Schizosaccharomyces pombe: one gene and its partners. Changing the gene in region 1 together with any one later gene gives a genetic interaction. Each region holds a gene or a part of one and is shown in the gene's direction. Other genes may lie near its edges.

What was found.
Region 2: mutations in cid14 (region 1) and tho5 impair growth when combined (synthetic growth defect), as found in Schizosaccharomyces pombe (one study listed by BioGRID).
Region 3: mutations in cid14 (region 1) and rdp1 are lethal when combined (synthetic lethality), as found in Schizosaccharomyces pombe (one study listed by BioGRID).
Region 4: mutations in cid14 (region 1) and tho7 impair growth when combined (synthetic growth defect), as found in Schizosaccharomyces pombe (one study listed by BioGRID).

The regions. Positions count from the first base shown.
Region 1 is NC_003424.3:319,759-324,641, forward strand, and holds cid14 (TRAMP complex poly(A) polymerase subunit Cid14), read left to right. Parts: upstream 1-2,046; 5' UTR 2,047-2,165; coding exon 2,166-4,220; 3' UTR 4,221-4,371; downstream 4,372-4,883. Other genes in the region: mRNA cleavage and polyadenylation specificity factor complex, WD repeat protein Pfs2, read left to right, coding at 216-1,745; gms2 (NST UDP-galactose transporter), read right to left, coding at 4,436-4,649, 4,704-4,883. UniProt on the Schizosaccharomyces pombe protein: Required for 3' polyadenylation of the 5.8S and 25S rRNAs as a prelude to their degradation in the exosome. Involved in the nucleolar organization to ensure faithful chromosome segregation during mitosis.
Region 2 is NC_003423.3:754,951-758,571, forward strand, and holds tho5 (THOC5-like protein), read left to right. Parts: upstream 1-1,626; 5' UTR 1,627-1,709; coding exon 1,710-2,023; intron 2,024-2,106; coding exon 2,107-2,395; 3' UTR 2,396-2,615; coding exon of another isoform or gene 2,616-2,796; 3' UTR 2,797-2,845; coding exon of another isoform or gene 2,846-3,001; 3' UTR 3,002-3,051; downstream 3,052-3,621. Other genes in the region: rpl3801 (60S ribosomal protein eL38), read left to right, coding at 1-20, 200-234; SPOM_SPBC577.03C (GCN5-related N-acetyltransferase), read right to left, coding at 610-1,073, 1,147-1,333; meiotic recombination protein Rec27, read right to left, coding at 2,616-2,796, 2,846-3,001, 3,052-3,092; 1-phosphatidylinositol 4-kinase Stt4, read right to left, coding at 3,458-3,471, 3,525-3,621. UniProt on the Schizosaccharomyces pombe protein: Component the THO subcomplex of the TREX complex, which operates in coupling transcription elongation to mRNA export. The THO complex is recruited to transcribed genes and moves along the gene with the elongating polymerase during transcription.
Region 3 is NC_003424.3:1,323,284-1,329,617, forward strand, and holds rdp1 (RNA-directed RNA polymerase (RDRC) Rdp1), read left to right. Parts: upstream 1-1,657; 5' UTR 1,658-1,722; exon of another isoform or gene 1,723-1,802; 5' UTR 1,803-1,969; coding exon 1,970-5,617; 3' UTR 5,618-5,778; downstream 5,779-6,334. Other genes in the region: exo8 (exocyst complex subunit Exo84), read right to left, coding at 1-672, 716-857, 912-969, 1,016-1,053; phosphoribosylformylglycinamidine synthase Ade3, read right to left, coding at 5,979-6,334.
Region 4 is NC_003421.2:919,569-923,064, reverse strand, and holds tho7 (THO complex subunit Tho7), read left to right. Parts: upstream 1-1,814; 5' UTR 1,815-1,843; coding exon 1,844-1,850; intron 1,851-1,867; exon of another isoform or gene 1,868-1,903; coding exon 1,904-2,122; exon of another isoform or gene 2,123-2,178; coding exon 2,179-2,329; exon of another isoform or gene 2,330-2,378; coding exon 2,379-2,610; 3' UTR 2,611-2,979; downstream 2,980-3,496. Other genes in the region: EKC/KEOPS complex subunit Cgi121, read right to left, coding at 1,119-1,643; yta4 (ATPase Msp1), read left to right, coding at 3,226-3,496.

The DNA.
Region 1 (4,883 bases):
GATTGCGTATCCATACCTTTGGCCAAAGTCATACTAGCTCATTTTCCCAGCACGTAAAACGCGCCAAATATCTATATATTAGAATACCATACGAAAAACGGTAAAGTTTATACTACATTAGAAGGAACTTTAAGTTGGTTTTATTTAAATTAAAGATTGATTTTATTGCTGCTAAATAAGGAATTTCACATCTTTGGGGAATTGGTTAATTCATCATGGAAAGAGCTGAAAATGCTAGAATTATTCAAAAGCCTATGACTCGTAGGACTGTGGACTATGGATCAGGGCTATCAAAGTATATTGTCAATCGACATTTGCGTAGCAATCGCTATCACATACATGTACCGAGACCAAATCCGAATCAAATAATTAACTTGTATCCCCCTTATGAATACAAGTATAATAACACATCTTCCTTGTGCACCAAATATATTCATACGTCTGCAAATAAAGCTAGACATGTTATTAACGTTGTGCGCTGGACTCCAGATGGTCGAAGACTGTTGACAGGTTCTTCAACTGGTGAATTTACTCTGTGGAATGGTCTCACATTTAATTTTGAGTTAATTAATCAGAGTCATGATTATGCCGTTCGTTGTGCTGAATGGAGTACAGATGGGCGCTGGCTTATTTCCGGCGATGGAGGAGGCATGGTAAAGTATTTTGAACCGAATTTAAACAATGTCAAAATTGTTCAAGCTCATGAAATGGAAGTTAGAGATGTTGCCTTTTCACCCAATGATAGCAAATTTGTCACAGCGAGTGATGATGGTTCATTAAAAGTATGGAATTTCCATATGAGTACTGAAGAGCTGAAACTAACTGGTCATGGATGGGATGTAAAAACCGTCGATTGGCATCCTTCAAAAGGTCTCTTGGCTTCTGGTTCTAAAGACAATTTAGTGAAATTTTGGGATCCAAGAACCGGTACATGTATTGCGACTTTGCATGGTCATAAAAACACAATAATGCAAGCATCTTTTCAGAAAAATTTTGGATCAAATTATTTGGCTACAGTCTCTAGGGATAGCACTTGTCGAGTATTTGACTTACGTGCCATGAAGGACGTTCGAGTTTTACGTGGTCATGAAAAGGACGTAAACTGCGTAACATGGCATCCTCTTTATCCTAATTTGCTTACTACTGGTGGCTCCGATGGAAGTGTCAATCATTATTCACTTGATGAACCTCCATTACTTTCTCAGCAAAAGTATCATGAAAAGCATCCAAATGTTACTCTTTCCGCGTCTTCTTATTTACTATACCCTACTGCTGAAATTCCATTTGCTCATGATTTGGGTATTTGGAGTATGCAATATCATCCTCTTGGACATCTTTTATGTACAGGTTCAAATGATAAAACTACACGTTTTTGGTCAAGATCTCGCCCAGATGACAAGGAATCCACCATGGATCGCCATCATTTAGGTGAAGAACAGTCTGAGGCCATGCTAAGTCAGAGAAAAGCAGCGATCGAAGAAGACGATAATTATGAACCTGACGAAAACCCTCTCACCGAAACATTAGCAAATGCCCATAATCCCCAATTTTCTGGAGTACTTAATCTTCCGGGTTTAGGGACTATGCCCTCCTTTCCATCGCCTTATCAACATGGACAACCTCAAATTCCCGGTATGCTTCATGCATCTTTGAGCAATTCATACGCTGAGCCGTCAACTCAAAACTCTTTTATCCCAGGTCTCACCTCAAAGTCACAAGATGGGTATCCTCAAAACTATCGATAATACATTTCTTTGTTATTTGAAAAACATATTTACTTGGCATTAATTAGATTTAAAAAAAAAAAAATTCACACCGCAGCTCACTGGATTCATACTAAAAATTGGGTTTGGCAAAGCAAAACCTACACTAATTTTTTTTTTAATGATAACTAAGCAACAATTTACATTATACCATTCATACTCGACAAGCACTTCTATATCTCGCTCTCCATACAAGATGTTCCCCAAATTGAATTACCGAGTGTCAACGATTTTCGTAAATAAATCGTTAATAGTTAGGTATGCTACATTTAGTAAGTTGTTCACCACCAAATTTTCAAAGATCTTATGTGATTAATAATTGTGGTTCAATTAGTCATATATTGATTTTTATAAGAATTCTACAAGATAGGTATAGAAAACCATTCTATCCATGTCTTAGAGATGGGTAAAAAAAGCGTGTCATTTAACCGCAATAATTATAAAAAGCGTAAAAATGAGAGAACTGAACCACTTCCAAGGAGGATTTTTAAAAACGATAAACCGAGTAAATTTAAATCTAAAAGAAAGGAAAAGGATAAAAATTCAGACGCTTATGACGAAATGCTTCTGAATAACAATTTTACGCTTCTGGATCAAGAAGAACCCATGGTTGAAATTGGAAGTAAAAAATCACGTAATGATAATGATTCAGAAGGAATACGTGATAAAGGTGGAGTAGAAATTTCAAACAAAAACGATCCATATATTCAATTTGGAAAAGCCGATCCATTAGAGCCGCTGGAAAAACCTGATTTACCAGAGGAAGCAATAAAACGTGGTGAACCTACCATTCTTTTAGGTATACCAAAAAGAGAAGGTAGAAAAACTAACCCTGTACACGACAAGGCTGTCGAAAATAATTCTGATTTTATCAAGTTCGATTGGAACAGCGATGAAGACGAGGATAGTGTTAGTAATGATAAAAGCAAGAATAATGAGTCCTTAAAAAAGTCTTCTAAAAATGAGATCCCTGGCTTTATGCGTCAACGAGGCCGATTTTTTCATGAAGCAAATGAAAAATCGGATTCTAACCGTAAACGAAAACGCCAAGCGTATGAGCTTGATTCTCAATCATGCCCTTGGCACCGTCAGTATAAGGTAGAGCGAGAAGTCTCTAGAATTTTTCACCAAGACATTCTTCACTTTATTGACTATATTACTCCGACTCCTGAAGAGCATGCGGTTCGGAAGACGCTTGTTTCTCGTATAAATCAAGCTGTCTTGCAAAAATGGCCAGATGTATCACTTTATGTTTTTGGAAGTTTTGAAACCAAATTATATTTACCTACTTCAGACCTTGATCTTGTAATAATATCACCTGAGCATCATTATCGGGGTACAAAAAAAGATATGTTTGTTCTTGCTCATCATCTAAAGAAGCTAAAACTTGCTTCTGAAGTCCAGGTCATTACTACTGCTAACGTTCCAATCATCAAGTTCGTTGATCCGTTAACCAAAGTTCATGTTGACATATCTTTTAATCAACCTGGAGGTTTGAAGACATGTCTGGTAGTGAACGGTTTCATGAAAAAATACCCTGCTCTTAGGCCGTTAGTAATAATTATTAAACATTTTTTGAACATGCGAGCGCTAAACGAAGTCTTCTTGGGCGGATTAAGTAGCTATGCGATTGTTTGTTTGGTTGTTTCTTTTCTTCAATTACACCCTAGACTTAGTACAGGTTCTATGCGTGAAGAAGACAATTTTGGTGTTTTGCTGCTAGAGTTTTTGGAGTTGTACGGAAAACAATTTTATTATGATGCTGTCGGTATCGCTGTTCACAATGGTGGTTTTTATTTTTCAAAAAAGAAGATGGGTTGGCTGAAGCCAAACCAGCCTTATTTGCTTTCAATCCAAGATCCGGTAGATTTCCAAAATGATGTTTCTAAATCTAGTCGTGGATTATTACGCGTAAAGGCTACATTTGCAAATGGCTTTGATTTGCTAACTAGTAAATTATACGCACTCGCATCTCGTATAGAAAGAGAGGGTGTCAATCGAGTCAAAGATTTCCCTAGTATCCTAAGTACCATATTATCAGTTGATGAAGGGGTTCGTCAACATCGTGAGCATATGTTAAAATGTTATAAGAATAATCCAGTTCCTTTAGAACCTTTAGTGGAAGTGGATGCTTTAGCAAGTATTGATGTCGACAAGCTTCCATTGCAAGACGTTGGTTTGCAATATGTTGAGGATGAATCCGATTCAGACGAAACAGATGCTGCAAAGGATGATTTGTTTAAAGTAAATGAATCAATTGAAACCAACGGCCATGAAAATTTTCAGAAGCAAGCTTTGACATCTACGGGAGAGCAGTCCTCCTCTAATTCTCGAGCTAATCCCAGTAAATTATTTAACATAAGCAGTGACGATTCGGAAGACGAAGTACCTATTATTGAGGACACCACTGCTTCAGATGAAGAATCTCGAGCGAAAAAAATACGCAAACGTTTTTAGTTAATTTACATGTAAAATACCAGGTTATATAGAGGGATAAAAGGTTTTATTATCAATTATGATTATAGTTTGATAATTGTATTAATAAATTATCTTTATAGATTATACTTACGATTTAGCCAGTAAACTCGAATACCAGTAATAAATTAATCAACACCTTAAACTCACTATGGATCTGTAGTAATTTTGCATAAACGATGAAACTAGTTAAGAAATTACGATTCGGCGAGAGGAAATTTGATGATAGAATGGTAAGTAAATATGCCATAAATAAGAAGCACGAATCCCAAGAATTGAAGTAAATGGAATGACTCCATCCCCATTGCCATAGCAATAATCCAAATTCCGAATGTTCGAGCAATATCTAAAAGAGATCGGGTAGTAGCTGAGTGAAGTTTTGTAATGGCTAAGCCGGAAACGTTGAAAAAACTAAGGTTGGAACGTTAGTAAATACGAATGGTCAATTTTTTAACATGAACTTACGCAATAGATACCAAAATAACTCCAGAAATAACATAGAGTGCAGGGACTTCATTAAATCGAGATATAACGTGTGAATAGTCAAACCACCCGTGGTATCCAGCAGTAGTAGAACCGATAAAATAGTAAGAAATAATCATTCCTAAAAGGACAAAAAATACGCCATAAGTACCTTCATAAGCA
Region 2 (3,621 bases), on another chromosome or scaffold:
CCGTCAATCTCTTCCTCCCGGTATGTTATATAAACTACTAAGAAAGATTAACTCAGTTACTTTTTATTGAGGGAACTACATTTCCTTAAAGCATTTTGCGAAGGAATTCTTCCTAAAGCGTTGATAATTCGTGAAACAAATGATCAGCTCTGAGTTAATCGTTCATATAAGTGAACTCAAGCTAACAAGTTTTCTATAGATTTGACCGTTACTGAGGTTGGAAAGAAGGCATAAAGTTTCTGGTTGAGTGATTAATGAAAAAGAAACCTCTCATGGTTTTTGCATTCAGTTAAAAACAAAAATTTTCTTTTTCAAAAGTAAAATGATCAATAAAGATTGTATTCATATTATTTTGTAATGTAATGTAAAAATCGAAGAGTAGAAATCGGTGAAATTATCCAAGTTGTTCACGAATTTTATAAGCAGACCCAATTCGCGATTATAAAATAAAGGTCTGTATGTAAATAATTGTTGTTGCGAGATGAGAGGTATAATTAGCCATAGGGTTGTGTAGAAAACAATTTTTAATAAACCCTTTTAAAGTAGTTCGCTGCATGTAACACTTGCATAAAGTAAACAAGTAAATAACTTTAAGCGTTGTTGCATCGCTTATGAAGTCCTCATTAGTTCAAGCTCTACATGATCAAAATAAGCGTTGTACTTAACTTGAGAGAAGCCCAATTTCTTGAATAGCCGAATACTAGGCTTGTTTTGGGAGCCAACTTTGACTCGATACTTAAGGATTTGCTTATTTTTGGCAATTCCACTGGATTCAACATAGTGCAAAAATGCATCTACAATCTTGGTTCCATATCCTTTCCTTCTATTCTGAGGCTCTGCAATCATCAATTCAAGTTCACCTACTATATGTACCTCTGACTCCTTCGTAGCATTGGTAGCATTAGCATCACTGGGAGAATCATCAAATTCTTCTATACCGTCTGCGTATTCCTCAGTCAAAAACATGTTCACATCCCCAATCATTGATTCAACGCTGTGGGCTTTTACATGATCCAAAATTGAAGGTTTCTTAGCTTCATCGTTTTCGTTTAGTAAAACGATAAACGTCAGCTCTATATCGTTAGAAAATGATTAGAACTTGTGATGCAATTGATCAATCACGAATGTTGAACCATCATAACATACTATCTTCATCAGTACTCCATGAGGCCTGCATTTGATATTCTTCGTCAAGAGTTAAAGGCTCTGAACAAGTAAGCTCTTGCAATTCCTCATTTTTCATCCAGTTATGGTATTTTAACACATGGCATTTTTGATATGGCACGAGAATCAAGTTGCCGCAATCAACAGTAGTATTTTGATTAATTTTCATTGAAAGCACACTTTTTTTTACCGACTCTTCAATAGCCAAATACTCACTTATTCCAAATGTTTACAGTATCAATCAAAATGATACCGAACCGTGAAGTTGAATATATGCAACGGATAAAAAAAACGTGATTTGATGTTTAGTAAAATAGTTTTACGAGAACTCTGATTGAAAAGACATTCAACGAAAATCTCTCAAATATATACAATAAATTCAAGGCTCAACTTATAAGAAGTTAGTTTTAGTCAGTTAACCTTTATGGTAGTAAAGGCGTAGCTATACTGAGTTGACGAGTTAAGCCCAAACGTCTACTCTTTTAAACAATTTGGAAACCTCCTCCTACAAAATTTCCAAGAAAGAGTAGTATTTCGTCGTAAAAATGACAGAAAATGCAATATCAGATTGTTTGAACGTTCTTGACTCAACTCGAACATTGTGTTTGCGAATTCATGAGTTGAAACAGCATAGCAGAGATGCCGACGATCAAAATCCCGAGCAAATTAAACGACAGTTAATGTCAAAGCTCTTAATCTTGCGAGAAGCAAATAGAAAATCTTACGAACAGCTCGTACAAGCAAAGACTATAACAGCCGAACACAAGTCTGAACTCGATAACGCCCGTATACGGCTTCAGGCGTTACAGTACAAAAAGCTGCATTTAAAAACGATAATAAAAAATTACGAAGAAAAGGAGTACGTGAAAGTTCCTTACCTTTTTTTTTTTTTTTTTCAGATTTCAAAAGTCTTTGTTCATTTCTTTCTAACCATTTTAATAGACATATATACACAGCGTTACCACTCGTCTCAAAAGAAGAATTTTTGAAGGAACACCCGGAATTTAAGAGTTCGAATGATCATGATCTAATGCTTGCGATTCTTGAAGACGAACTGAAAGAACGTCAACGACTTTCCACCTTAAAGCAGGAACTTTTAAAGAGGAAAGCTGCATTAATATCTGAAAATAAAGCAAAGAGGAATGCATTGCAGAAAGGAGATGAAAAGCTGCAGACTTTCCTTCGCTCCAGCGTGCCTGTCCAGGAGTACTATAACATTACCTCCATGTAAATTATTCCCATGAAAACTTATGTGTTTATTCATTTCATTTACTACCCATTTTTTAGCGTTTAATAAAAAGAACGGATTTAGATTTTTAGAAACGATTAGCCTCACTTTACTTTTTCAATTCTCAAGTTTGAAGTTTCAATTAAATTGTATGCTCATAACATATTTTTAATTCGTTTTATGATTTTATGGCACTAGTTTATATAATGTGTTTAAAATGACTTTATACTTCTGTATTTGTTGGTTGGTTCATTGGGGTTTTAACAACAATTCGCAGTTTCTCGGCATACTGTAACAACTGATTGCGTATTTCGATTTCGAGTTGTTGTTTTCTAGCTTCTATAGAAAGCTTTTCTTCGTTCAATTGTTTAATTTGATTCGCTTTTTGTATCTCAAATTCCTTTCTATAATTTGATGTTAATGACTGCCAGGATTACCGTTTTATTTTCGTACATTTTCTGTTGAACCTGGGAAACATCCTTTATAAAAGCCTTTTTCTCATTTTCTATATTGGTCTTGTATTCGCTTTCAATTTGGTCATACTTTTTGACGCGTCTTTCAATGTTTTTGAGGTTTAACTCTTCCAAAACATGCTCAATTATTTCAGAGCTGATTTAATTAGTATACGTTTATAATTATTTTTCCCTTTACTTTCATACCTAGATTGATCCGAGCCTAATGTTTCTGATCTTTTCTTCATATTCGTATTTGTTAGAAGGAAAGTTACCATAATTTATTTATATCCTAGTAAAAAATGGCAGGCAGCAAATGACTCAAAAATACATACCTAGTTATTTGAAGTTGTTTTTTTTTTAAATTAACATTCATAAAGCCTTTACAAGAGTGAGTTGCCATATGCTAAAATATACAACAGATACTTGACAATGCGATACCTGTAAACGCGTTTCATTATTCAATAGTTAATGTGATAAATTATCGTACTACAATACAAAAAAGACATTGCAGAAGAAACTATTATGACTGAATGATCGTTATATTAGATCTAATAAACTTAGCTGCAAGGTACTTAAACGGATAATAATTATTATTGCTGGTTGTTTTATATTAATAAGGAATACCTTAAAAAAGTTAGTAATTAGTTGCTCATTTATATTGCTTAAAATCATCTTACCATTTGTGGCCTTCTGGAATTGATCGTACATAAGCGTACGTTTGTTTGCATAACTCTGCTCAATCAAATGAAGCATAAATGTAGATGCTTGCCGTTC
Region 3 (6,334 bases), 1.0 Mb from region 1:
GAGCCTGACGAACCATATAATCCCTTTCTTCACTATTGTGTACTGCCAACAATGTGGTCTTATTGTTATGGTTAATTGACAGTTTGTATAGAGAGACCTCTTTCTCCTTCTGCAGCATTTCAGCACCTGCTGGTCCATAAGTTTCAATTGAAGAAATAGAAATTTCGGTTAAATTCCAATTATACAAAACCTGCTGCTTAGCAGGGAAATCAACTTCTTTCATGTGAGAAGTAGTAACCAACAGTCTATCATTAAACAGAAGCATATTGACAAGAAGCTTAGGTCTCTGATTGTCAATATTGATTAACATCCAATTGTATTGCTCACATATAAGCTGTCTTTGAGGCGCTTCCCAGAATGCTTCATCTAGCCCTTCAATGGATGATCGTAGTCTCTGTACCGTTTGTTTTATTGATTCGTCGGAAGGGTCATGCGTATGGTCGACCAAGTTTAATCCTTCAATGTCAGTCTCCAGGGTTTTCAACAGAGACTGAAACTTTTTAAAATCTGAAGTCATGCTCTCAACCTCCCCTGATATAAATACATATTCATTCAAATTTTTGTAAAAATTCTTTTCCAAATTTTTACGGACGCCCATGTGAATGCGTAGAAGCTTATTGTATAAAGACACAAATTCATCTTCACTAAGGTCCTGTAAAACATCGTTTAAATCTTTTTTGCAAAATTAGTTTCCAATAGACATAATTACACATACAGCTTTGAGCATCAAAATTTTGATTATCGAAAAATTTAGGCTGTAAAAAAACTTCATTTTGTGAAATGATATGTTTTGTTTGCCGTTTTTGTCGATAAATATCATCTGTTTTAGAGGTACCGACTCGTAATCGCGTCGGTGACTTTTAAAAAGCAGTTTTAGTAATAGGTTGTTTTTATTTAACTTCAGTACATACCTGTCTTTGGCTTTCATTTGGTATGGACTCCGAAGCAACACTTAAATGATTAGATTTCCTAACAAAAAATTAGCTCAAACACCCGATATTCTCTAGCTGCGTACATGAATTCATCTTCAAAAGAAGATGGATTGTCAGGCATTTTTTTTTCAAGTTTCTGATAGAAGAATAAATATTATGTATCTAAAGGATGTTAAATTGAATGCTTCACATTTGAAATAAGTTTAACAATTTACCAATTAAAATAAGGGAATGAAGAACCTATTTGTGGTATTTACAAATAGGAATAATAAATTAATTTATCCTTGAGCAATTGCTCTATTTTTAAAAATCTATTAAGTTGTTTGCTTTGCCGAAGTAGTTGGACGTGTTTGTAAAATCAAGCGCTGACGAGGGGTTTGGAATATCAGGGCTGCACTTAATTTTGAAACGAGTAAAGCTACGTAGCTCAAATTATATACCATGCTTAAAAAATAAATTTATAGTAAATATCAGCTAGATATTATAACACGATATTGAACATGAATTAAGGTGCATGATATCAGTCGTTTAACTGATGGAAGTTTCCTAACAATTTTTTATTCCTTGGTGAAAAAACTACCTCAATATCTGCTTTGGATTGAAAACTGAAATTCAACTTGCCGGTTCATATAGGATGAATATGTATTCTTAGTATTTTGATTCTACTTCCCTATACGTAAAGGAGCCTTCACTTAACTTTATTCCACCGTGCTACAAACTTCCTTCAAGAGCAATTCATAGATATTGATACTATAACGGTCAATTAAATTAAAAAGGCACACATATACATGTATGTATAAGTGGATAAATAGGAACATTATAATCTTTTTTATATAAATCGAAGGTTTTTCGTATCTAACGAATTTATAGCCAGCTGAAAGGAATCTTCTATGATAAAAGACCACTTCGCAGAGCGAGGCTGCTGATACTGCATAAAGGCGCTATGAGATTTAGTGTTTTATTTTTACAAAAGGTTCCAAATTGATTTGTTGTCAGGGTTATAATTAAATCCAGATTTTGTATGGCAATGTAAAGCAATGGCAGTTTCGTTAAATGACTTTATAAGTGTTAAATTAAAACGTTATTCTCGTGAGTCACCCTGGGAAAGACTTAGAGTCCCATATAGAAACAAAAAGCAAAAGAAATGGGCTTCCGTTCACAATAATGAAGCTCAGTTGCACTCGGCTAATAAACGAAATGATAATTGTCTAATCCAAAGAAGTAGTACTTGGAGATTGGGGGATATGATTACACTTGTCATAAAAGATATTCCAGTTACTTGGCTTTCAAATGAGGGAGGAAAACTATACAACTTGTGGGAACCCCTTCATGATTACGGTACAATAGAATTCATGAAGATTAATGAACCTTTGAATGGACAGACAAGTACTACTGCAATAGTCCAATTTGCTCCTCCTCCCAAAGTTCCATTCTGGGAACCAAATGGGAAAATAAATGTCAAAGGTGTTGATCTAGCTGTTCAAATTGACATAACAGCACATCGTTCCCACATCAGCCGACAAGTTTTCTCTAAGAATAGTTTTAGAAGCGATCAGCTAGTAAAAATCCCGTTATCCTCCTTTAAGCTCGGGCAAGTTTATGATGAAAGAATTGTCCCACTGTTTGGTGTTGATTGTGGAATAACTGTAACTGAATCAAACTTACTTGTATATTTTAATTTCAAAAAGCTCTGTGTTCTCTTTGATGCTTCTTTTGACAAACAGATCGAAACCTTTCGTCTGGACTTCGATTTTCATTCCATAATAGGCGATGTAGGGACGGATTATTACGATGATCATATTTCCCTCGTATTTAGATTTAGATTTTCTCCACTAATTTTCAGAAAATCTAAAAATGCAACTGAATCCAGAGTTCAAACTTTCTGGACTGCATCTCATCTTTGGAGACGACATTATGATATTCTACCTTTCAATGTTTCACCAACGACTGCTAGTCCTATAGAGCTACTTAATTGCCATAACGCCCCCATTGGACGCTGCAATGTTTTAGTCCTTAGCTTTTCCATAAGGGATGAGTCTGATAAAGATGACATTGCCTTTCTTTTACACAACTTGGAAAAATTCAATTTGAAAAGTCAACTTGATAAAGTGGTTTTCCATCTTGTCCCAGACTACAAACATCGCTGTAGTCTAATAAATGATAAAGAAATTGAGGAAGAGATTGCTTATCTTTTGCAGGCTTGCCTTTCTAAAAACTTATTATCAGAAATTGATTTGCCCATTATATTGGCGAATTTAAAGAAATTATCGAAAGAGAGAGCAAAAAAATTCCTAAGACTAATTCTAACGTCCAAAACCGCTTTAATAAATCCTTCTGAGCTAGATTTTACTAAGTCTTTTGTCTTTTACGATTTATCTTCCGCTTCTTCTATTCACATTAAAAAATTGTACGTTACACCTACTACTCTTCGAATAGTTGAAGACTCATTAGAAGCAGGAAATCGTGTTATAAGAAATTTTAAGGACTTTGCAAACCGTTTTATGCGTGTGCAAATAACTGATGAATACTATAAGCAAAAAATTCGAGGCGGTTCTGATGGGTTTAGAAATGAAAAATTGTATTCTCGCATCCAACAATTATTAACCTACGGAATTAAAGTTGGTAATCAAATTTACGAATTTTTAGCTTTTGGAAATTCTCAATTAAGAGAGCATGGTGCTTACTTTTTTGCTTCGGGATCTGATCTAAATGCCAAACAGATCAGGGAATGGATGGGTGACTTTAGTGAAATCAATTCAGTATCTAAGTATGCAGCAAGGATGGGACAATGCTTTTCAACGACAAAGGAAATTAATCGATTTTGTGTTGACATATCCCTTCAGGATGATATTGTTCGTAACAACCACTGCTTTACTGATGGGGTTGGAATGGCATCATTATCTGTAATTCGAAGACTTTCTTTGGAAGTAAAAAATCATGATATGTTTCCCTCTGCGTTTCAATTTCGTATGGGTGGTTATAAAGGCGTTTTATCTTTAGCTCCTCCGACTAAGCTTGAATACCATCAAGGAAATCTTGTGTTTCCACGCCGTAGTCAAGATAAATTTAAATCATTCCATAGTACCTTGGAAGTTATTAAAATATCTCGATTTTCAAATGCCCATCTGAATATGCAACTGATCACCTTATTGGAAGGACTCGGGGTTGAAAAAACCGTATTTTTGGAATTGACTAGAAGTCAGTTGTCAAAAATGAACGAATCGATAAACAGCAAACAAAAATCCATTTTAATGTTACGGGACAACGTAGATGAATATCACTCTACTTTAATTATTGCTGATTTTATCCAGGCCGGTTTCCTTGAAAGAGATGATGCTTTCACCGAGAATTTATTAAATCTATATTATGAATGGGTTCTTAGGTTAATTAAGGAAAAACAAAAAGTTAGTGTTCCAAAGGGTGCCTATTTACTTGGTGTAGCTGATGAAACTGGAACACTAAAGGGTCATTATGATGATGCTGTTTTGTCAGTACCTGAAATTTTCATCCAAATTACCGACACTTCTACCAGTTTTGGTTCATATTCAACTGGAAAGCTGAAAACAAGGGTTATAGTTGGATTGTGTATTGTTGCAAGGAATCCCTCGCTTCATCCAGGTGACGTACGTGTCTGTAAAGCTGTCAGATGCGATGAGCTTATGCATTTAAAAAATGTGATAGTGTTTCCGACAACGGGTGATCGAAGCATTCCTGCTATGTGCTCTGGTGGTGATCTGGATGGGGATGAGTACACAGTTATATGGGATCAACGTCTTCTTCCTAAAATTGTTAATTATCCCCCATTGCTTGAATCATCTCCCAAGAAGTCTATAGATTTTTTGGAAGGAAAGCCACTTATCGATTCGGTAAAAGAATTTTTTGTGAATTATATAAAATATGATTCGCTAGGTCTAATTTCAAATGCTTGGAAGGCATGGGCCCATGACCATGATAATAATCCGGAAGGGATATTTGGAAATGTGTGTTTAGAACTTGCAGAAATGCATTCAAAAGCTGTAGATTTTGCTAAATCGGGAGTAGCTTGTAAAATGCAAGCCAAATACCATCCCAAACGATATCCTGACTTCATGCAAAAAACAAAAACTCGTTCTTTTCGTTCCGAAACCGCGGTTGGCAAAATTTTCAGATACGCTGCACGATTCCAAAGAGAAAGTGGCAGACCTGCAACTTATAATCCGATAATGAATACTGTTTATGATCCTTGTATGAAACTTCCAAGGTTTAAAACTGAATATCTGAATGTAGCTGAAGAAGTGAAGAAACACTATGATAATGACCTGAGATCAATTATGGCTCGTTTTGATATTTCCACAGAATATGAAGTTTACACAGCTTTTATCCTTTTTAAAGATGATTTAGCTAAAACCGTAAATGAATATGGTCTTAGGGAGGAAGTTAGCTTTCAGTTCGACCTTCTAAAGAAAAAATACACTCAAGAGTACTTAGAGAAATGCGCTTTATCAAATCAATCGGCATTTGATTCTTCGGAATATGAAGAACGGATAAACAGTGCGGTTGCTGCCACTTACGATGTGACATACGATCAACGTGTCAAATCTGTTGGCAATGGCACTACTGAGGTATTGATTTCATTTCCATATTTATTTTCTAGTCGTCTTTGTCAGCTTTCACGAAAAGCCATGCTTACTGCTAATAATTTTTAAATCGAATATACATTCGAAGCTTTAATTGCTCGTAAAAGGCTAATAGTAATTGTACTCATTATCGACAATGGAACATAGAACAGCAAAACAGGTAGCTAGAGTTAACATTTAACAAGACTGTTGTATGTTTCTGCTGAAGGAAAAGAGTTGTCATAATTTTTACACATATACTCGATGGTTAAAGCAATTTAATCGTAATAATGTATAATTAACGATTTTTATATCTGCCAAGCTTAATCTAATTTTCACCATTAATTTAAGTAGAATAATTATAAAATTTTGTAACACGAAACAAACCAAAACTGTAAAGAAACTACGGCATGTGAACTCCAATTCAGCTTCTCCGGGCAAGATAAATGCTTTAACCAACCCATTTTCTAGCAGATTGGAAAAGACGGATCCAAGGACCATGAACGCCCCACTCGCTAGCTTTCGAATGAGGGTAATAACTGTTTGCAACTTTCAAAACTACACGTTCAGGGTGAGGCATCATAGCTAAAAAGCGACCACAAGGGGAGCGAACACCAGCTATAGCATCTCTGCTTCCATTAGGGTTGAATGGATAACGGCTAGTACGCTCGTTGTAGTTGTTAACGTAGTATATCAAATCCAAACCTTCCTTCTTAAATTGTTCGTAATCGGACTCTGAATCGAAAACAGCTCTACCTTCTCCATGGGCAACGACCACGGGTAAACTAGATCCAGCCATACTTTCAG
Region 4 (3,496 bases), on another chromosome or scaffold:
CAAAAATTGCTAGTGTCACATATAACGATTTAAATTAATCAAAAGAAATCATACGGATCAACGACAGCGTTAAATTTACACTATACTTAGCAAGTCCATAAAAAAACAGGTGTATTGGCGAAAAGTCAACAGATGAACAAATGCTCTCTTCAACGTTGAGTTTTTGTCTTCAAATGACTTTTGAAAAGGAAAAAAAGAAAACAAAACAAATAAAAACAAAAATAAAAGAACCAAAAAGAATGATAAAAAAAATCAAAGCGGAAAATAAAAAAAACGCGGTATTGACGGATAATGACAATTCTGCCTAAGAAATTTAGTTTTTCTCTAATCGGCTGCCTGCATATGATTATATGAATGTAGTTTTAACAGATTTGTACTTGTTAAAATGAAATTTCCATAAGGAAGAGTTTTCGCGTGACTGGGAAACGGATGGCTTGATATCACAAATTCCGGCTTAGCAGTCAATACCGCAAGAAGGCAAGTTAAATCCGTAAATAAACAATTTTGACAAAGAGCTGCCAGTTAATTGTAAAACATACGATGTAAAAACCTTTATTGTTGTATAAAAATAGTTCTTACCTTTGCGACCTGCTTTTCTTTATAACAGGAGCATAAGGTGCGCAATAAAAAACCCATTAATTTATAATCCCATTAAACTTTTAATAACTATTCACATAATGGTAAACTTTTTGCACTGAGATCCACCATATAGTAATTCATCGCCAATAGACCTGAGCAAAAAATATTGCACAAGAACAAAACATGATGTCAAATAACACTAAAGCATTCCCTAGGTAAAAGTATCGAAACAGATAATCGTAATGAAATGCCCTTAGTTACTTTAGTAAAACTGTCAAGAGATCATAAAACTGAACCAAACCAGAGGGCATAACTTTACGTGCCATCCTTTACCAATTCGTAAATCAAAAATTGATTATGTAGGTGCTTGCTAAATAGTTTGTACAGTCATTTGAGAGAGGAAAAAATTATAAGGAATAGAAGAATCCACACAACGTTCCATTTGGAACTCTCATCATTATCATTCAAGCCGCATAGAAAAATAGTCAAATCAATTGTGAAACATTGACAAAAGATCAGATTTGCTAGAACATATGTTTTTAAGAATAACCACGTAGAGCTATCGAAGATAATATAGAGGCCAAAGGATTCTCAAGCGTAGAGGGATCCAATTTGTAATTCTTTTTTAACACCTTGAAGTCTATTAATTTTTGTAACTCTTCGTCAGAAAATTCGACCCTATTACCTTCCACAAGTTTGTCCAAGCGCTCAAATTCTTCTTCTTCTGTAAGTTTGCTATCAATTTTTACCACTACAATGTTTTTAGATTTTTTTGTCATGCTGAATTGTCGGAACGCACTAGAAATTTCGGTTTTTGGGGACAATGACAAAATAACCTCTGAGTGAATCGTCTTAGTTTTCATTTGTTCGTCCCTTCTATCTTCGAGAGCCCTAATAATAGCGCTATAAACCTGCTTTTTATATAGAATAGTAGCGGCATCGAGAAACGCATAGTCATAAATGGGATTCTGGCTTATTAGTTGTTCATGAATCGCAGCACAGTTAGAAACATTTTCATATACAAAAACATGAACTTGTGTCTCTGGAAAAAGAGGTAAAATCATTTTGCCCGCCTGTTCTATAGCAATATCAAACTGCAATCCTTGTTAGCGTTTTTACATTTCTTAGGTAATAATCGTACTAATAACTTTTTGCCGGTAAACATCGGTAAAATACGGTGACTAAAACTCCGAACACTCCAGCTACTGACTTAGCGCCCAACTAAATTGTATAGTGAATTTGCTTTTTTTTTACTCAATTCATTATGGAGGGTATGCTATAAATAATTTTTTTTTTGAAAATATTAAGTTAACCGATATGTCAGAGACGGCGATTCGATCGCGCTTAACTGTGGAAGAACGGCCTTTGAAACGGTTGATTAGTCGGTGTCTTGGTTTTGCTGCTCAAAATGTAGACGAAGCAAACTTAAGGGATTTAGAAATTGAATTTTCTGCTCTCTCTGCTTTTTGGCTTCGATTGCAAATGCAATTAGACATGAATGCTAAAGAAGTGGATGTTTACGAAGGAGAACTGAAGAAGACTCGTATGTGATTAAATTCGTAACTTTAAGTACAGTGATGTTTTTATTAATATTTTCAGAAACATTTTGTGAAGCAGAAAAAACCGAAATAAGCCAGCTTGAGCAAGATTTACTAGTTGCCCAAGAAGAATTAAGAAAGCGTGAACAATACGACGAGTTGGCCAAGCCAATAATGTCAAAAGGATTGAGATCAAGAACAGAACAACAAGAGTAAGTTTCCAGATTTATATTGAATATTTTAGACTGACCGGGTTTACAGATCAATAGGAAAGTTGCAAGATGCTATTCGTGAGTTAGAAGAAGAAAACGCGAATTATGTAAAAGCATGGAATTTGAGAAAAGATATTTTTGATGAAACTTTAAAGCAAATGAACCACCTACAGTCTATATTGCATCCTCCTAGTAATCCCGAATCTGATTCAGAAGAAGGCATTGCTAGTGAAGGTGAAAATCCTTCGTCGTCAAGTTCGACTCAATACAAGGCCAAATAAATCCTAGGAGGAAAAAATTGTATATAATTTAAAAATTTTCGTGAATTTACGAATGATAGGAATGGTTTTTCCGTTTAGGATATGTTAAACAGTGAGCTTCACTGGACGGGCATAGCGATTTAGTCTTGATATGTCCTTTATTGTTTTGTATATAGTTCCGTTAGGTTCCCTTTTGGATATTTATAAGTATATCCAAATCTCCTAAAAGGTTTCTCGCTCCATTTTTATTCTCATTTTTCAATGGGTTATTTACTCAGAAAAAATCTCTGCTTAATTATTATTGTTTACTAATTGTTATTTCATCTATAACCAAATCTTTTGGCACAGAGAGTAAATATTTATTGTTACATTACCACTTTTGATAATTGATAACTGCGCTTTGAAACCATTGGGATTGTTTCTTTAGGAAAATGAAAATTTTTTATTTAAAAATAATTTTTTCAATGAATATATTTTCCAAACAATGTAGCAAAGTACGATCAACTTTGTATATCTTCTTTACCCATTTAGCTGAACATACCAACCGCCCCAATAGTAGTAGCGTGCCACCAGACAAATTTACTGCATAAAATTTTGTGTGCTTGCATTTTGAAGTTTATTACTGGGGAATTGATTATGAATCCGACGACTAAAAGGGCAATTAAAGAGATCGTTGTCTATGCCTTAGCATTTGGTTGCTCTTGGTACGCAGCACATAAACTTTTGTCTACTTTAGATCCGTATCGACAAAAAAGGCAGGATACAGTTTCCAAAAGCCGTAAGCGACTTGATGAGTGGGCTGGGGAACAAGTCAAGGAATTGGAGACTCTGGAATTAAATGAGTATGAGCAGATTGTTGCATCACAGCTCGTTCTACCCAGCGAAATCGATGTTTCCTTTGATGATA